Linked DNA regions of Sus scrofa. The protein of the gene in region 1 interacts with the protein of each later gene in a pairwise test. Links are inferred from orthologs where the notes say so. Each region holds a gene or a part of one and is shown in the gene's direction. Other genes may lie near its edges.

What was found. The genes of interacting proteins can lie anywhere in the genome.
Region 2: the proteins of FATE1 (region 1) and RPRM interact in binary tests that used the Homo sapiens proteins (3 or more experiments, as listed by UniProt). The two-hybrid records come from large-scale screens. The link is inferred for Sus scrofa from reciprocal best matches to the Homo sapiens genes FATE1 and RPRM.
Region 3: the proteins of FATE1 (region 1) and SYNDIG1 interact in binary tests that used the Homo sapiens proteins (3 or more experiments, as listed by UniProt). The two-hybrid records come from large-scale screens. The link is inferred for Sus scrofa from reciprocal best matches to the Homo sapiens genes FATE1 and SYNDIG1.
Region 4: the proteins of FATE1 (region 1) and KCNS2 interact in binary tests that used the Homo sapiens proteins (3 or more experiments, as listed by UniProt). The two-hybrid records come from large-scale screens. The link is inferred for Sus scrofa from reciprocal best matches to the Homo sapiens genes FATE1 and KCNS2.

Annotation. Positions count from the first base shown.
Region 1 is NC_010461.5:123,111,218-123,114,208, forward strand, and holds the end of FATE1 (fetal and adult testis-expressed transcript protein homolog), read left to right. Parts: intron 1-343; coding exon 344-426; intron 427-678; coding exon 679-757; intron 758-1,449; coding exon 1,450-1,581; 3' UTR 1,582-1,961; downstream 1,962-2,991. UniProt on the Homo sapiens protein: Involved in the regulation of endoplasmic reticulum (ER)-mitochondria coupling. Negatively regulates the ER-mitochondria distance and Ca(2+) transfer from ER to mitochondria possibly implicating it in the regulation of apoptosis.
Region 2 is NC_010457.5:61,140,234-61,145,079, reverse strand, and holds RPRM (protein reprimo), read left to right. Parts: upstream 1-1,682; 5' UTR 1,683-3,194; coding exon 3,195-3,524; 3' UTR 3,525-4,393; downstream 4,394-4,846. UniProt on the Homo sapiens protein: May be involved in the regulation of p53-dependent G2 arrest of the cell cycle. Seems to induce cell cycle arrest by inhibiting CDK1 activity and nuclear translocation of the CDC2 cyclin B1 complex.
Region 3 is NC_010459.5:30,619,932-30,624,785, forward strand, and holds the start of SYNDIG1 (synapse differentiation-inducing gene protein 1), read left to right. Parts: upstream 1-1,690; 5' UTR 1,691-1,906; intron 1,907-2,110; exon of another isoform or gene 2,111-2,365; intron 2,366-2,541; exon of another isoform or gene 2,542-2,690; intron 2,691-4,854. UniProt on the Homo sapiens protein: May regulate AMPA receptor content at nascent synapses, and have a role in postsynaptic development and maturation.
Region 4 is NC_010446.5:38,371,252-38,376,136, reverse strand, and holds the start of KCNS2 (potassium voltage-gated channel subfamily S member 2), read left to right. Parts: upstream 1-1,721; 5' UTR 1,722-1,737; coding exon 1,738-1,850; intron 1,851-4,885. UniProt on the Homo sapiens protein: Potassium channel regulatory subunit that modulate the delayed rectifier voltage-gated potassium channel activity of KCNB1 and KCNB2 by altering their kinetics, expression levels, and shifting the half-inactivation potential to more polarized values.

The DNA of each region.
Region 1 (2,991 bases):
GGCTCTTACTGTGCGTCCGTAGGGAGTGTGGTCACCTCGCTAGGCCTCAGTTTTCTTGGTTTTGAAATGGGGCTTTTCCCTCTTTCTCCTTCAGTCATTGCTCAGATCAGCCGGTGTCTGCATGTGACAGTGCTGGCAGAGGGCAGGGACACCGTCACTGCTCTTCTTTCATCATAGCCTGGGTGGCCAAGAGCTCTTGAGGAGCGTGGTCCATGCGGGGTGTGGCCGGCGGCCACCTCGTGGGGTTCCCAAGCACTTCCAGTGGGTCCTGGACAGAGTGCGGGGCAACTGCTCCGCTGGGCCCTCTGTCCAGGCTGCTCTGCCTGACCGTTCCTTTCTCTAGGGGCCCCAGCTGCCACCAAAGAAAGCGTCCCAAGAACCAAACCAGGAGGGCGGCTTCCAAGGCATGGGGTTCCTTTACGAGCGGTAAGAAGGGTCCCAGGGACAAGGCTGGGCCACAGGGGCTGGCAGGCAGGCTGGCCAGGGGGGAGCGTGAGCAGCTGGCCGTGCCAGCGGGGCTCGGGCTCCGTTGCCTCCTGGCCCCTGGCTTGCTTGGGGCCCCTGCGACTGGGCCGCTCCCAGTCTTCAGGCCCCAGGACCTGCTTACCAGGGGGGGAAGGACCCGATCGATGGGGGTCTCCCAGGAGCTCTGACTCTCACTCTTGTCTTTTTTCCCAGCAACCTGGGGGCAGACGTGATCGCTGAGATTGGCCTGGAGGAGCTAAACGGGCTGGAGATGGAAATCATGAGAAGACAGGTGAGCGTCGGATTGCCGGGGAGCCACGCGGAGGGTGGAGGCCGAGGCCCAGTGCCCTGGGGCAGGCGGGGCCTCGACACCCGCCTTGGCGATGCTCAGCCTTGCCAGTCGCATTATCCTCTAGCGGTGGAGGTGACGGTGACATCCAGGTCGCCCTTCCCTCCCCCCAGTCCCCTTGGCTCCCGTATCTATCCTGATGCCCAGCCCCAACCCTGTGTCTCTCCCCGAGATGCTGGAAGGAAGAAGGGGGGGCGTGAGGGGGGGGAAGAGAGGACATGGGGGCACAGGAGAAACTGGTGCTGAAAGAGCCATGCCAAGACATCTGAGTGAGGGGTCACCTTCCTTCAGACCAAGCCCGCGTCTTCTCAGGAAGCGACCCCAACAGGCAGGGGCACGGGCCTGGGGGACAACTTCCCTGGCAGCCCCTCTCTGGCCCCTAAGTGTCACCTCATCCTATGGCCCTCACTCTGCGGTGGCACAGCTGGGATGGGCTGGCTTCTTCCAGACAAGAGGAAGGTCCCCAAAGTGGGGGCGAGGCGGCGGGGCCCACCCTACACCCTGGCCTCAGCTGCCCGGCCTCCTTCTGGTCCAGACCCCCTTCCTGCTCTGAGGTCACACTTCTTCCCCCCGCCGGTGTGCGCAGGCTTCCCCGGAATGGCCTTGCTCACCTGCCAGCTCTGGTCTCTTGGCAGCTGCAAGTGATCACCGGGCGGCTGCGGGCCCTGGAGGACCAGGGCGCCACCTGGCGCCACAGGGAGACCCTCTTCTTCACCATGCTGGTATCCGTCTGCGTTGCCAACCTCTGGCTGTGGCTGCGCCAGTGATGCTTCACGCAGGCCACCTGCACATGGAGCCCTCCCCTCCTCCCCTTCCTTCCCTCGGCCACCCCTGCCGTCTCCTCCCCACCCTTCAGCAGCAGCTGGGAGGTGGAGGAAGGTCCGAGGGGGCTGAGAGGCAGCCCCCGTGGAGGGCAAGGAGGGTGGCATCCAATTGCCTCAGGAACACCAGGGGTAGGTGCTTCCTACCTGCCTGTCAGGGCTCCACGGTGACCGTCTTGGAGCCACATCTTGCCTGGGGGCCCTCGGTGTCCCTTCTGTTCCATCCTTGGCAGGGGCTTGGCTGTGTCGTCCCTGTTTTCTTCAATGTCATGCATTGGGCTCTGCACAGAGAATGTTCTTAATAAAAGTTTAGTGATAGCAGCAAACCCTGGTGGCTGAGCTTCTTGCACCCAGGACTCACGTGGGGACAGCCTATCCAGACAAAGACCCTGGTGCCCCTTCCTGCACCATCCTCATCCCTGTGGGGCAGAGTGGGGGGTGCGCCTTGGGGGCAGGCTCTGGCCTGTGGGGAAGCCACTCTGCGGCAGCCTGTCCAGGTCAGGCGATGCAAGGACTCAATCAGAGGAAATGTCCTGGGCAGGACCAGAAATGTTGCCATTTGCTCAGGAGGAAATGGAGTCCCAGGGAAGGGGAACGCAGCCCTGGGCTCATTCAGCAAGACTAAGGCCGGGCTGGGGCTAGGAGGGCTTCTCCTGAGACTGGCTGAGGCTCTGACTCAGCCCTGGAGGTTGCATGGGGGCCCACAAGGAGGGGCTTTGACCCCCCCACCCCCACCCCTCCGCCTCGTGTCACAGCCCTGTAACATGCCCCTCGTGCACGGGGAGGGCAGGGGGGCGTTGCTGGGTAGAGAATTGGGGCTTGGCCTGAGAGGGCAGAAGTGTCACTGCTTGAGTTCTGGCTGCAGGAGGCCTTCAGAAGAGTTCTGCCCTCCCCCTGGGCCCCAGGGATAAACTCACATTTCTCAGGGGGGCAGAGATCCCATCTTTACATTGTCCTTGGCTTTAGTGGCTAACTGGACCTTATTCAAGCCCCCAAACGTGTCAAGGCTTCCCCATCTACAAATGTGAGAGAGTCTGTTAGTCATTAGATATAAAATAAACACAGGCAAGTGTGTGTGTGTGTGTGTGTGTGTGTGTGTGTGCATGAGTGTGTCAGAAAGAGTCCTTGAGCCTGCTCCGCCCCTGCTCCGCCCTCTCTGGCTCTTGCGTGGAGCCTGTACAATGAGCGGGTTCCTCCTGTCCTGACTCCCCGGGGACCTGCAGTATTTCCGAGAGCAGGTGTGGGCCTCCTGCCAGCCCTGTGCGGCCCCGCATACATCCCGCTGCAGCTTGGGCTCTGCCGAGAGCAGGGTCAAGGTCATTTGGTGAAGAAGCATCTGGAAGATTCCCTCCCTGG
Region 2 (4,846 bases), on another chromosome or scaffold:
TCCCGCGGCATATGGAGGTTCCCAGGCTAGGGGTTGAATCGGAGCTGTAGACACCAGCCTACACCAGAGCCACAGCAACGCGGGATCCGAGCCGCATCTGCGACCTACACCACAGCTCACGGCAACGTCGGATCGTCAACCCACTGAGCAAGGGCAGGGACCGAACCCACAACCTCATGGTTCCTAGTCGGATTCGTCAACCACTGCGCCACAATGGGAACTCCACCCTGGAATATCTTTATAGAATTTACTATATGCCACAGATATATTTTCTGGAAAGAACAGAAAAATGTTTCCTTTCTTGTGTAATATGTATATTGTGAAATGCTGAGCATTTAACTTGTTGAAATCAAACATTCTCTCCAATAACGTAGGAGAGGTAGTTATTTAAAAATAATAATGAATTGTTGTATGTATCAAAATCCTTTTCTTTGAGGTGAATTATCAGTAAATTACTCCACTTCATATTGCCATCTGTTTTTCTACGTAAACATTTTTAGAGTATTATTTGCCACATCTCTTAAGATTTTTCTTGGAAATAGATGAATAACAGGAGTGAAGCTGAGAGAAAAATGTTCCCTCAAAATACAAAAGGGAAAGACAATTTCTGTTGAAAAGCTCTAGCAGTTTAATCCCCTTAAATCCAGTAATAAGTGAGTGATAAATGAGAGTTTTGTACTACTAACTTTATAGTTAATGTCCATCTAAATACTCTGAGAAATTTTATTCAACAAAATCAGGCTGGTTGGGGCAGAGGGCTCAAGGAAACAAAACCACTTCCCCAGAGATATGAACTAGCTGATGGGAATAACCATTATCTTATCTATAATTTTGTGGCTGTTAGTGGTTAAAGCTGAAAGAAAATGAAGTCAGAGTATTACCTAATTTCTTTTAAGAATGTATTTCTCAAATCTAGAGGTTTAACATTACAGAACCTCCACTGGACTTCAAATTTTGCTCATGTTTACACTGACTTCTGACTAAAACATTAATATTGTTAATATCAATAAATATGCTCAGATTCTGAAATGATTCAATTAGCAGTCTTAGGAACTTTTCGTAACTGGACCTGACAAATATACTATAATTCTACTTGTTTCTGTCACATAAAAAGGGAGTATTCTTTCTACTCATCCATATCCAACTTGTATTAAACACACAATCCTGTACAAGCTAATATCCCTTAAAGTTGACCTCTATTCTCCATCTTTTGCTTTTCCAAACTCCTACTACTTGCCTCTACCATTCATTTTAGTATTGCCTTATATTATCTTAAATTATTCTATGATTTTCTCACATAGGTATTGTTTTACTGTTAGGTATCACCCATATGAACTAAGGCTGACGATAGAGTGATATTTAAATAAGTTTTTTTTAATCAATAAATAATAAATTTATCCAAAGAAGCAACTGTCGGGAAAGAAGCATTCTTCAAGACAATTATAACCATGGGAAACTAGAACAATAACCCAGGTGAATTGTGGATGAGGCCCAGAAGCCTGGGTCTTGAGCTATTAAACACCCCCCCAAAATTAAAAAAAAAATTAAAAAAGCTATTTAGAAGGGTCTAAACTTAATAGAGCTGACATAAAAATTAACATCCAAAAGTTGAAAACTCTCTGCTAAAATGCAGTTCACTCTATTGTGCTCACAAAGTAGTACAAAAACACACTGAAACCTGTGAAAATGGAGTTAATTATGTTTGGGGAGACAAAAATCAGAGCGTTTAACAAGAGAATATAACAGAATTCAGAAAAAGGGTTGAAAATGGCAAGGCAGCTACTTTGTTTTAATAGAAATATAATAAAGGTATTCTATCAAAAGTTTGGACTAGACTTCAAATTACTTCAAATTTCCAGCTGCCACACTTGAAAGAAAAAGGAAGGGAAAGAAGAAGAAAAAAAGTAGAAAAAAAATTTTAAAAACTCTAAAGTATTCTTCTAGAACTCAAGAAACAAGCTAACAGGTTTGTAACATTTCACTGAAACCAGAAGCAAAATCACAATGGGCTGAAGCCTCAATCAGACCCCTAGAACATCTGCAATTTTGTTTAAATGACTAAGGTGAAATACATTAGCTTACGGAAAATGGGGAGGGCTTCCAGCAGCTGGCCAGTATTCTAAGTAATGGATGTTGATGAGCAATTCCCTTAAACAAGTGATTTACTGCCAACAGAGCAAAACACTGGAAGTACATCCAAAAACTCATTGGCAATTAAGATTACAAGGGTGGCCATTCTGTCCACTTCCCCCCTCCCTTACCAGAGAGGTGACCCTATTTCTGCCAACCGCTTCTACACAAAGGCCACCTAAGAACCTTTCCTTCCCCTAACTCCCTTTCCTTTCCCTCAAAAGTCACTATAAAAACGGCCTTACTCTTCCAATTGCTTCTTCTCTCCCTCCCTTTCTTCCTTTCTTCTTTCCCGTCTTCCTTCCCTCCCTGCTTTTCTTTCTTCCTAAAATCGTTGCTTTTTAAAAAAATACACCCCTACTACACTAGAAATCTGTCGCAAGCGAGACAAAGTCAGGCACAGGCGGCGGGTCCGTGCATTTGCCAGCAGCATCTGGCATCTGCGACTCATTGCTACTTTCCACCTCCCGGAGGTGAGAGAGGCGGGAGGCAAAGGACATGCTGAGCTGGTGTGACCCAGTTCTTAGGAAACTTTCGGCCAGTCGCAACTCTTCCCCCACCCGAAACTTCAATCATCCTTCAAGCCAGAAAATTACAGAGACTTCAGCCTAGCCTTTGGAGCTGGACCAGAAGCGAAGCAGGAAAGCTACAAGAAGAGGTTTACCCCTTTGCTTCTCCTACAGTCCAACCGCGGCGGGCGCACAGCGGCGGCGCGGCCGGAAGGGGCCGCTGTTCACTCAGAGCAGCCGCCTTGCCGCCGCGGTCCGCACCTCCCACGGCCCCGCTGGCCCAGCCCCGCCAAGTTCCAACAGCCCCCAGTCGAGCCATCTCCGGGAAGGAGCGTCTCCCGGGCAGGATCGGACCGCTCAGACTAGCCAGGCTGCGGCGCGCGTCGCAAAGGCTCCGGGGGAACTCCCACGGCTCGGAGACTTTGGAAAGGAGAGGGCGAACAACCCCCGCGCCCGCAAGTCGGCAAGTGAGCGCTCAGCTCACCTGTTTCTTCCGCGCCACCGCCTTCCCACCCCTCGGACCCGCGCCTCCCCGGGCGCCCGCCCGCTCCCGCGATGAATCCAGCCCTGGGCAACCAGACTGATGTGGCAGGTCTGTTCCTGGCCAACAGCAGCGAGGCGCTGGAGCGCGCGGTGCGCTGCTGCACCCAGGCGTCCGTGGTGACCGACGACGGCTTCGCGGAGGGCGGCCCGGACGAGCGCAGCCTGTACATCATGCGAGTGGTGCAGATCGCCGTCATGTGCGTGCTCTCGCTCACCGTGGTCTTTGGCATCTTCTTCCTTGGCTGCAACCTCCTCATCAAGTCCGAGGGCATGATCAACTTCCTGGTGAAGGACCGGAGACCGTCTAAGGAGGTGGAGGCAGTGGTCGTGGGGCCCTACTGACCGGTCCCCGACCCCCGCGGCAGCCGCCCCACTTCTCCAGCCCGGCCGCGCCCCCTCACCATCCGAGACTAGGAGAAGAAAACCTGTCGGGAGTCAATTATTTCTGTTGACTTCTGCCTTTCGGAATGAAGCAACACGTTTCTCGCTCGCCCTCCCAAAGTCCCCAGGCCTGGCTGGAGGAGAGAGCCCTGACTGGACTCAGCAGCAAGTGTCAAAAAGAAAGCGATTAGGGCGCAGAACTTTGGAAGCTGCCGCTAGCGCGGGATGCGGGGAGACCAACCCGGCCGAGGCCTCTTTCCACCCGCAGGTGGGCCAAGCTCTGGGGGCAGGTGGAGAGGGCGGGCATGGAGACACCAGCGGCACCGATTGCCTGGTGACCGGAAAACTGACCCATATACGCCACTCAACAGAACTAATGCGGACACACAAATCCGTGTCCGGGTTCGCGCCCATTCCCTCGCGCTCCTCCCAGCCCTGGCAGGAGAGGCGATAAATACTTTTGATTGATTGTAACGTGCTGTTTTAAGGGATTTTGTGTTTGTTTGCTTGAATACAAATATTTGATAAGTATTTTTTTCTGCCCTAGTGGCCCGTTTGCCTGCCTGCGGGTTAGAGTTTTGTGTTGGGAGAAGGGGTGGGGGAGGGGTAGCCTGCGAATGTGAACACGGTGAGTTGTTTCTTTTATCACATTTCCCACTAGGTCTTTTGCGGGGGCTGGCACTCCTGTTGGCCCCCAGGCAAAGACCCAGAATAGAACTCATAGCTCGTGACTGCACGGTTTACGCCACAAAAGTGCTCTTGACATTCGTGACACCGTTTTGACTTTTTTTTTTTAACATTTACCTAATAAATGCAACATTTAAGTGTTTTGTTCCTGGCCTCCTGGTGATCATTCTGCGCTCCCCTCCCGGCGGAAGGGAGTGGGCGAGGGTGAGGACTTGGGTTACTTGTCGGGGTGTAATTCGCTTTGGAGATCTGTGATTCAACTCCGAGATCCCACGGGGATGAGGGTGGGGGTGACGGAGAGGCTCAGGGACGAGTAAAACAGGGCCCAGCCACAAGCACAGGAGCCATCCTGGAGGCAGCATCCTTTGTTACAGTTAGTATTTTTTATTTCATTAGGCTCAGCTCTCTGAGCCAGCAGAGAGGACACGAGGCCCCCGCGGGAAGTTTACACTTCCGTTCCGTACAGGGCTCCGGTGGGAACACACTGGGTTACACCCGCTAATGAAAGGAAGAGACAGCCTTCTGGGAGAGAATCTTTCCCCTGACCAACGTCAGCAAGATGGCATCAGGATGCTGATGAAAGAAAAAAAATATAT
Region 3 (4,854 bases), on another chromosome or scaffold:
GGGCCCTGGGTGGGCAGAAAGTCCAGCCGTAGCCTAGGCTGGAGTTCTCCCTCTCAGAAAACAAAACTGGCCCCTAAGCCAAGACCTAGACAAGCACAACTGCACGGACAGGCTAGACCAGAGGCAGGCTGCTCCTGTCCTTTGGGGGCTGGGGAAACCGCAAGTGACCTTTTTCAGATATCCTCAGCTTCTTCATCTGATAAATGGAAAGACCCATTCTCTACCTCAAATGAGTTCATCTGCTCAGCGGAGTGGTTCAGATGAGAGCATGCTCTGAGCAGGAGAGGATCCAGGAACAGTGGCAAGTTTATGTTCTCAGCTGACATATCTTTCCATCTGAGCAGGCCCAGGAGGGCACAGCCTTAGCTCTGGGATCTGGAGGGAGAAACTGCCTGCGCTTTGCCCTGCTGCTAAGAGGGAGATGGGACCGTGCTCAGGTGGGTAAAGACAGAGCACAGGAGGTGCTCCTTCCAAGCCTCCACCCCCATGCCCCCTTCCAGGTGCACTGGGACCTGAGCTTCTCTCTGGGCTGCTGCCCACCCACAGGAGCCAGGACCACAGAGGGAACTTCAGGGAGCGCCTGCTGCTCTGGCACCACCTCCAACTCCAGCCTTCAGCAAACTCCACCCCGGGGCCTAGCAGAGGAAGAGGTGCCTCCTCAGGGGCCAGGGATGGGTGTGCAAGGGTGGGGGAGGGGGAGGGTCTGCACCAAGTAGGGTTATAACCGACCTTGACCCCTCGCCCCCGCCCCCGCCCCCCAGGTGCAGCCAGTGCCGGCCTGGCCGGGGCGCCTGGCACCTCTCTGCCTGGGACAGAAGTGGACTCACAGATTCTTTTCCTAAATTACTTTTGACTCCCTTTCTGGTACTTGTTTCTTAGTCAGTTCTTTATGAAATCCAAACTGAAAACACCCCTTCCCCAGCAGCCCTCAAGGTCTGAAATTTTAAAAAATAATAAATCTGGGAGGCGCCCTGCCTCGCTCCGCCCCGCTCCCCATTCTCCTCACCAGGATAATGCCCGCCCCCACCGCCCGCCGCCCACGTTTCCTCTTCATTCCGGCTGCCCAGGGCCAGCCCTGCGAGCAAAGCAGACCTGTTTGACGCTGGGCGGGGTCCAGCGTCTGGGCCCCCGCGCCTGGTTTCTCCTGGATGGTTGGCTGGTTAAGACTCAGGCCTATAAAGTAGGACCTTAGGAACCTCAAAAAACAAAACCAAAAAGAAAGAAAGAAAAAATAAAAATCCAAGAATTGGCGCCTGGGGAGGCCTTTAGGACCGAGGGAAGCCATCTCTTCTCCGATCCGGGAGGCAAATCCGCCCTCCTAGTCCCCAGCGGACGCCCCTTCCCCCAGCCTCTGTCACCCACATTCCCAAACACCAGCCCCGGGCCACCTGCCAGACGCGATCCCCAGCGGGGCCCGGCGGCCTGGGGCAAAGTTGGCGCCGCCTCAGCGCGGGGACGTTCCCTCCTCCTCCTCCTCGCTGCCATCCCAGAGCCCTCGGCCGCCGCCTCCCGCACGCGTGTCTCCAGGCTCGAGAGCCAAGCGGCGCGCCTGGGCGCCCCTCGCCCACCCGCCGGCCGGGCGCGCGCCGAGGAGCCTTCCCGCACCCTCCTCGCCCGAGAGCCCAGGGGGCCAGGCTCCACCCCGTCGCCGCTGCAAGGGAGCCCCAGCCGCCCCGGCCGGCGCCGCTGCCCCGCGCCCAGCGCTCCAGTAAGCGCGGGGCAGCCGCGGGCGCGGGCGGCCAGCGTAGGGCCGAGCGGCGCGGAGGTAGCAGAGGGGAGGGCCGGGCGGCGGGGGAGGGAGCCGGGAGCAGAGGCGGGCGCCGCACCTCCCCGCGCCCGCGCTCGCTCCCTCCAGAGACGAGCCGGCAGCCGCCTGGGCGCACCAGCGGGTCACCTTGTCCGGGAGGTAAGTCCCTGCCGCCCCGGCAGCGCGGGCAGCAGAGGGGCCGGCGGGGCGGGTGGCGAGCGGGCGGCGGCTCCCGCGCGGAGAAGCGTCCTGGCTCCGCCTCGGAGCGCGAAGACCGGCGGCGGCGCGGCGCCTGAGTGAGTCGGGGTGGCCCGGGCGGCGGGACCCGAGAGGCGTGGGGTCGCCAAGCGCCGGGGAGAGCGGAGCGGGCGGGTAAGATGCGGAGGAAGGGACCGGGTGCTGGCAGCCTGGGCTGCAGCTTGGCGCCTCGCCACTCCGGGCGCCCCGGACGCGCGGAGGGACGGCTTGGAGAAGTCGGAGGGAGCTGCTAAGACCGAGACCCGGGAGCGCGGCGGTGCGGCGCTGCCCGAGGGGCGGGGGTGGAGGAGCGCGGCAGGCATTGGCTCCGCGGGCCCGGGAGACCCCCTCGAGCGACCCAGAGGAGACCGGCTGGGGCTGGTAAGCAGAGCCACCGCGGAGCTGGGGACCGAGATGGACGGGAAAGGAAGCGGGCTTCTATTCGCCGTGCAGAGGGGGAAAAGGAAGGCGATGTTGAGAGCGCGCTGGGCATGGGGACTCCCTACCAGCGACCCGGCGGGGGCGGGGACTCCGGGAGCCCCTCGCGTCGGCGGGCTGTCTGGTCCCTGGCAGCTGAGACAGCCAGCCGCCCTGGGAGCCGCCAGCCACTGCGCGGAGAGGGACCGAGTGGATGCGCTTTCGGGTTCAAGTTCTGGTCTCGATTTCCCTCGGTGAGATCTCTGCCTCTTCTTGTGCCCTCTCCAAGGTGCGGGGAGAGGATTACGGGCAGAACTGGGCACTTTTCCTGGGGAAGGGCTTTGATCGCGATGCGTTTTCCGAAAGACTCCAGTGGAGTGGGCGCTTACAGCCTTGCTTTGAGGAGGCTGCCAGTGGGATCACTTGGCTTTTTTGAAGCAAGGCAGGAAGGGGTCCTCTGGTCGCCTTCCTTTCTTTGGGGGTCCCCTTGCACGCCCTGGCTTGGGCATCTAGCTCCCAGACTTCAGGTGCGCACAGCCCTTCTGCGGTGTCAGATGCCCTGGCGCCAGGCTCCTGGCTGGACTCATGTCTGCGCCTTCCCTGGCCACTTCCCGGTTCAGTGCAGCAGACACTGGCTGGGGGCTTGGCTGATTTAGGGGCTGGGGTAGGTGGCTCCGTTTTTCAATTCGAATCAGGCTCAGGCGGTGGGGTGAGCATGGGGTCGGTGTATCTGTGGCCCCCCTCCTACCAGCCAGCATGTTTGGTCAGAGCCCAAAGGGAGCGGCTGCTGCGCAGACCTGCAGCCTGTGGGGTGAGCCCATAACAAACCCTGGAGCCAGCCAACTTTCCTTGCTGAGGGGAGACTGCCAGGCCCCGGGGTATTGGTGCTGGCATGTGGGTCCCCTGGGCCTCAGGGGCCCATTCCCTAAATGCTCACCGCAGCCAGAGTGGGAAGTGGTGGTCTGATGCCCAGTCTGGCTAGGACAGGAAGTGGCTGGAACACATTTTCAGATGAATTATTGCCTTATTGCTGTGTGCCGGGTGGTTGTGGAGAATGTCTTTTTGGTGATCGGACCACAGGTACGGGCCTCTGAGACCTCTGAGGGTGAGCCCTCCGCAAACCCCCAACCCCAGGGGCAAATGTTGACTTGTCGCTGATCTGGTGCCCTCTCCCACCCTGCCCCCACCTACTGCATGAAAATGGAATTGTCATAAGCAAGAGGGCCTTGTTAAGTAAAAGGGAACCTGGGGGGATCTGTCTCTAAGTTTTTTATAGAGGAAAATGTCCGTGGTGCACCAAGGAGGGGAGAGCAATGCACTAACCCTGCAGTGTCCCCTCACCCGCCCTTCGCTCCCGTCCCAACCCCGCCCCGCAGTTTAGGGGACCGTGTCTGAGGAAGGACCTGGAAACCCTTCCCACTTCACTGCACCTCCACATGCAGCCCCTTGAATCTCCAGCTGATGACACTTCATTTCATCTTCATCTAACCAGCATCAGAAACAACTTTGAATGTTTGCCGTAGAAATAGGTGATATTAAAATAGAAATGAAGGTGCCCCTTGTCCGTTTGGGCGTAGAAAAGAAAACTACCAACGTTCCTTAAGGCATGAAGAAGGGAGTTCGAGCAGGAGAAATTCAGATCCTGAGAAGAGAGACATTTGAAACAATTACATTTGGCTAGTGCAGGGGATAAACGGATTCCACTTGAACCACAATGAGCAGAATATTTTTTTTCTGGTTTAAAAAAAAAAAGGAAAAAAACTTTTAAAACTCTATTCATCAATCCTAAGCAATTTATTTCTACCACACTTCGCATCAGCAGAAATTAAAAGCACTGCTCTGAATTGACTGCCCTTTCTCGTTAGCTCTAACGCATGTCTTCTCAAGATTATTACTGTTATTAGAGAATACAAAGCTATTTTCTTATGTAAGTTTTCTATGGGAGACGCTAGTGGGTGCTGTTCTGAGGTTCAAGCGAGGGCTGAATAGTTTATCTCTCAACTAGAGACGTTTGCCTGTCACCTGCCCCATGGAGACGCCCCCTGGAGACTGGGCTCACTCAGGTGGATTCCGAATGTGGGGATCGGTTGGCTGGAAAAGGTAGCCAGGGGCCGGCTTCCAGAGACCATGGAAGGGGGTCCCTGCCTCCCCATACCTCCCCACCTTCCCTAACAGAAAAGCCGTTCCTAAAAATTGTCCTCCACATGCTTGCAGGCTGCAGCCAAGCTTGTGAACCCCTTTGTAAGGTGCCTTTACAGAGGAACGTAGCTGACCTTTTGGGATGCGAGTAACCATCCTGCTGGCCAGCATCTTTATGTAAACCCAGCATAACCCTAGGCCCTCCTGTTGGCCTCTGAGGGCCCGGCGTGTTGGGGTTCCTCGTGGCCCAGTGGGCTGACACAGTGCTTTGACCTGGGCTTTGAACAGACTCGCATCAAGAGCAATATCCCTGG
Region 4 (4,885 bases), on another chromosome or scaffold:
GGCCAGTCCAGGGTGGGAGATGGCCAGGAGAAGAGGCATTTCTAGCATCGTGTTCCCCTCATCTCTTAGTCTCAAATCACACAGCTTCCTACCATGATAAAAATATCCAGAGCCTCCGTCATTTTAGCAAGATTTAATTAAAGCTGCCCTAAATTAAGAATATCTAGTCATTGTTTGCATTCCTAGAGGCCTATGTTTAGTTGAGTCGCACGTAAGCAAAGAGATGAAAAATTAGCTTAATTTTTTGGCTGCGGGGAAGAGTGTGAATTGGTTTTCTGTCACTTGTGGGGAACATCTTGTGTCTTCCCTCAGCTGGGTTTCTCTGATGGGATTGCTTCTTCCCACCCTCCTGAAGGTCTCTGAGGACAACTGCTGCTTGGCTATGACCTGAGGAAACCTGTAGGGCCCACAGACAGACCAGTTCAGGGTGGATGGGGTCAGGGAGCTCCTCTTGAGAACAGCTGTGCCCCCACCCCTGCCCCAGGTCTCTGGGCAACCAAAAGCTGACACCAAGTAGGTCACTTGATGGGAGTTTGTCACCCACAGCGCCAAGCTGAGCACTGGGGAGGTGTTCAGAAACCCACCTTACTGTCTCAAAAAAATGCATCAGGGAGACTTCCGGAATCACTGGGTGGGGTGGGGGAGAAAGGCTGTAGAGAGGCCATGAATGAAGTGTGTAAGAACAAATCTCTAGAATCAGCCCGTTTTGCTTTGAATCCCAGCTCTGTCTCTGGTTGGCTCTGTAACCGTGAACATGTTATTCCACCTTTCTGTGCCTACTTAACCTCAAAAAAATCGTAATTCATACCCCACAGGGTCATTGCGAAGATTAACCTAGTTTATAGCATGAAACCCTTGGAAGAATGCCTGGTGTATAGTGAATGACCAATAAATGTTAGCTTTGGTTATTATTATAAAGGAGCGCTACTTACCTCTGGGAACTCCCACTTGGTCTCCTGTGGCACCCCTCCCAGACACGGTACTTCCGAGTGCCTCTCTGTTTAAATACTGCAGAGCTTTTGCTTTATTTTAAATCCAGGAAGCTGACTGCCTTGATGGACTGACATGTAAGCCATGTGTGATCTGCAAGTAGGGAGCACTGTTAGAAGGATGGGACCCCATCAGTCATCGAGAGTTTGAGTCCACTAGTAAAAATGTTGTGGAAACAGCCTAGAGCGAAGAATCTTTCAGCAAACCCAGAGCAGACTCAGGCCCTGGAGTAACCATGGAAACAGAAGCCCCGAGAGGGATGGGTAAGTGGGTGGATGGATGGATCCATCAATGGGCGATGGATTGGTGATTGGGTGGGTGTCACTTTCACAGAAGAGTGAGGGCCTGTGGGCAGCAGCTGTGAGCACCTCTGAGCTGGGGGAGGTTGGGGGAGCTGGCAGTGTGTCCTAGGACAGACTGTTGGGCGTGGTAAAAAGCCAAACAAGACAGGGCAGAAAGAGAATCTTTCCCTGAGAGATTTTCCCCAAGTTCCCAGCCTAGGAACTTGGAGTAGAGGTCAAAGGAGGAGGACGGGAGTGGGTTTTCAGCCTTTGTGGCTTCCAAGTCTGGGTTCTGGCCCAAAGAGTCTGTGACCTACCTAATATCCTTTATTACATGTTTCTTCTGCCTAATTCTCTGCTGCTGGCAACCAAGAACTGGGACTGACACCCTTTTTCAGACCTGCAGTGTGGATAAGTTCAGCACTGAAAATGTCCTTCTGGGAAAAGGGAAACAAAGTCTTCTCTGATGCTGAGAAATCATCTCGGATCCAGCTCAGGACTTCCAGAGAAACAGGATGCCTCGGGCTTGTGTCCTGGAGTGAAGTCCTTCCAGCCAGGGATGCTTTCAGCTGTTTCATGGTAAGCTGTGAGTGGGGACTTTCCTGCACTCCCCCTGTCCCACTTTGGGAGAAATGGGCCCAGGATGTCCACCTGCCTCTATTCATCCACAAGCAACAAGGTGGGGTGCCCAGTTTCTCTCCTTCCTGCAACTTCCTCCTCCTCTCCCAGTTACACGGGGCCATGTCACTGATTTCTGGCCAAAGGAATGTGGGCAGGTGTGAAGTCTGCCCCTTCCAGACCTGGCCTTGGGAATACCTTGTTCCATCCTCCATGCTCACTTCCCTCATCTCCCATGTTAATGCAGATGGTCCCAGGGAAGGATTCCAAGGCCCTAGAATGAATAGAGCTCTAGATGGAAGGAACCCAGATTCTGGAATCACCAGGTGGAAAACTGCTACCAAACACCCAATTGGACTATAATATGAATAAGAAATGATACCTTTAACAGGTTAAGCCACTGGGATTAGGGGTTGTTGGTTATAGTGATTAACCTACCCTAATTAATCCTGTACTTGAGATCATGAAGAGATCAGATTTTGGAGCCAGAGAGACATGTTTGAGTCTAAACACCTCACTTCCTGGGCATCAGAAAAATGAGGATAGTAATAGTACCCAAGTGAGCACAGGAGGCAAGCAGAGAGTTTAGCACAGGGCTGATCACTTTATATTCAATAATTGGTACTAGTCATGGTTAACATTAAGCACTTACCTTGTGCCAGGCCTTGGTAGCTCTCTGATGCCTCTTGTAATTCTCACAATAGCCTTGTGAATTAGAGACTAGCATAGGTTTTTAAGGATGGGGACCATGAAGCATAGAGCGGGTAAATGTTTTGCTCAAGGATACATGTCCAGAAGAACTGGGCTAGGACCAAGCATTCTGGTCCTAGCGGCTTCCCTATACTGCTACCCTCCCCATCATCACTCTCAGCTTCATTTTCTCCACCATCTTCATCTTCTTCAGCCACCTGCCAAGGTGGATGGTTGCTAAGATGCCTCATTCCCTGAACACTGGTGAGTGCCTTAAGGTAAACAGTCCCTTTCTGAATATCCCCCTGGGCCCAGAGAGTAGGGCCAGGGGGAGGGGCTGGGGGCTTCAGCTGTCAGTCACCCAGAAAAGGGTCAGGAGAGGAGGGACAGGAGAAATGACAGGCCTGAGGCAGATGGAGAGGGAGCTCCTGGGGCTCCGGGGCTCAGACTCCACCCTGTGGGCTCTGAGGAGGGCCCGGGGTAGAGGGAAAGACAGCCAGACCCCAGAGGCAGGCAAGAGTGAGTCTGGGAGCCACGTCATCCTCCTGGTGATTTCTCTTGTGGTGACCTTAATTCTAAATGTAATCAAGTTTATCTTAATTTTTCCAGCTTTGTCCCAGGATATTCTGGGAATTTAGTGAAGGGCCCCAATGGAGGGATACCAAGGTGGGGCTCCTAGGGAGAGCCTCCCCAGGAGAAGGGTCCTGGAGCAGAAGGTGCAAAAGGTGGGACCTCGAAGTCTCAAACCCTCAGGAGCAGGATCTGTGCATGCTGGCTGTGGGACATCTGGCCCCCCCTTTTAGTAAGGGGCTCAGAGAGGAGCCCTTCAGAAGCAGTGTTCTCTCCCTTATTGACCTCCAGGGGCACCTAGGAGGAGTAGGAGCACCTAAGAGCTATAGGAGAAGAGGAGAGGGGCCTCTGGGGATAGAGCCAAACAGCCTAGGCAAGGAATCACACAATAAATTGTTTGGCACCCAGAAACAATGCAAAAGCTATATAAACATTTACTGTTGCCTCTCGAGAATATACTTAAAGAGGAATTGCATTCATAATGCAGCAAAAACTTCTAAGAACCCTTTGTTCTCCAACTTTTCTCTCAATCTCCTCCACTGGGCTCTTTCCTCCCGTCCCCCACACCCTTTTCCCAAGACTCAGCCCCACTTCCTCAGCGCAGGTGGCCCCACCTGCTTCCCTCTTCTCTTCCAGTCTGCCTCTGTCCGCAGCAGCTTCTCTGTGCCCTTTCCACCATAAATCCACCAGGACAGGCCTGCTAGCTCCCTTGTTCCTGGCCCCATTACCACCATCATCATAATAAAAGCTCAGAATGAAGCCTGTTCCAAGGAAGGAGGGAAGCCGATGTAATGATTTTGAGAGGCACCATCTCTGGGAGAACTGCAGGAGTCAGGGATTGAAGGGAGTGGGTGAAAAAGGCCCCCAGCCCTTTTGGTGCCCCTGTTTTGGGCAAGCACTGACCCTAGTCAGGCTAGGGGGTGGGTATTTACTGAGCTAAGACACAGCCCCTGCCCTTCGTGCTGATCCTTGGGCTGCTCTCAGGCACACAGCTCTGTACCAATCTCCCTAAAGACAAGGTGCTCAGGCTCTCAATCTCGGCTCCAGGCTCCACTTTGTGCTGACTTAAGGGGCTTCAAGAAACACTGATTCCACAAGCCCTTCACCAGAGATTCTAATTGAATTGGTGTGAGTTGAAGCCTCAGGCATCCAGAGGCATCGGTTATTTTAAAATCTCCACAAGTGTTTCCAATGTGCAGCCAGGAATGAGATCCATTAGGCTAATCAATTGCCTGGGAGAGCACCCTGGAGCCTGCAGGGCCCAGGCCACCGTTCCAGGCACAGCCACCCTTCCCCCTCCAGCTGCCTTCTTGCTCTACTGGGAGGAAGAAGAGGCGGGGCCAAGACTCTGGCTGGCACAGAATAATGAAAGACAGAAGACTAGTTTCATTCACTTATCATTCAATCATATATTCAATTAATAACTACTTAATACTTACATCAATAACTACTTAATATAAATGTGAAAGAAAGGGTAGAAATTGATTGAGGGATCCAATTTAGGTTGGGCAGTCAGGCCTCCCTGAGGAGGTAAGATTTATTTATTTATTTATTTATTTTTTTGTCTTTTGTCTTTTTGTTGTTGTTGCTATTTTTTGGGCCACTCCCGCGGCATATGGAGGTTCCCAGGCTAGGGGTTGAATCGGAGCTGTAGCCACCGGCTTACGCCAGAGCCACAGCAACGTGGGATCCGAGCCGCGTCTGCAACCTACACCACAGCTCACGGCAACGCCGGA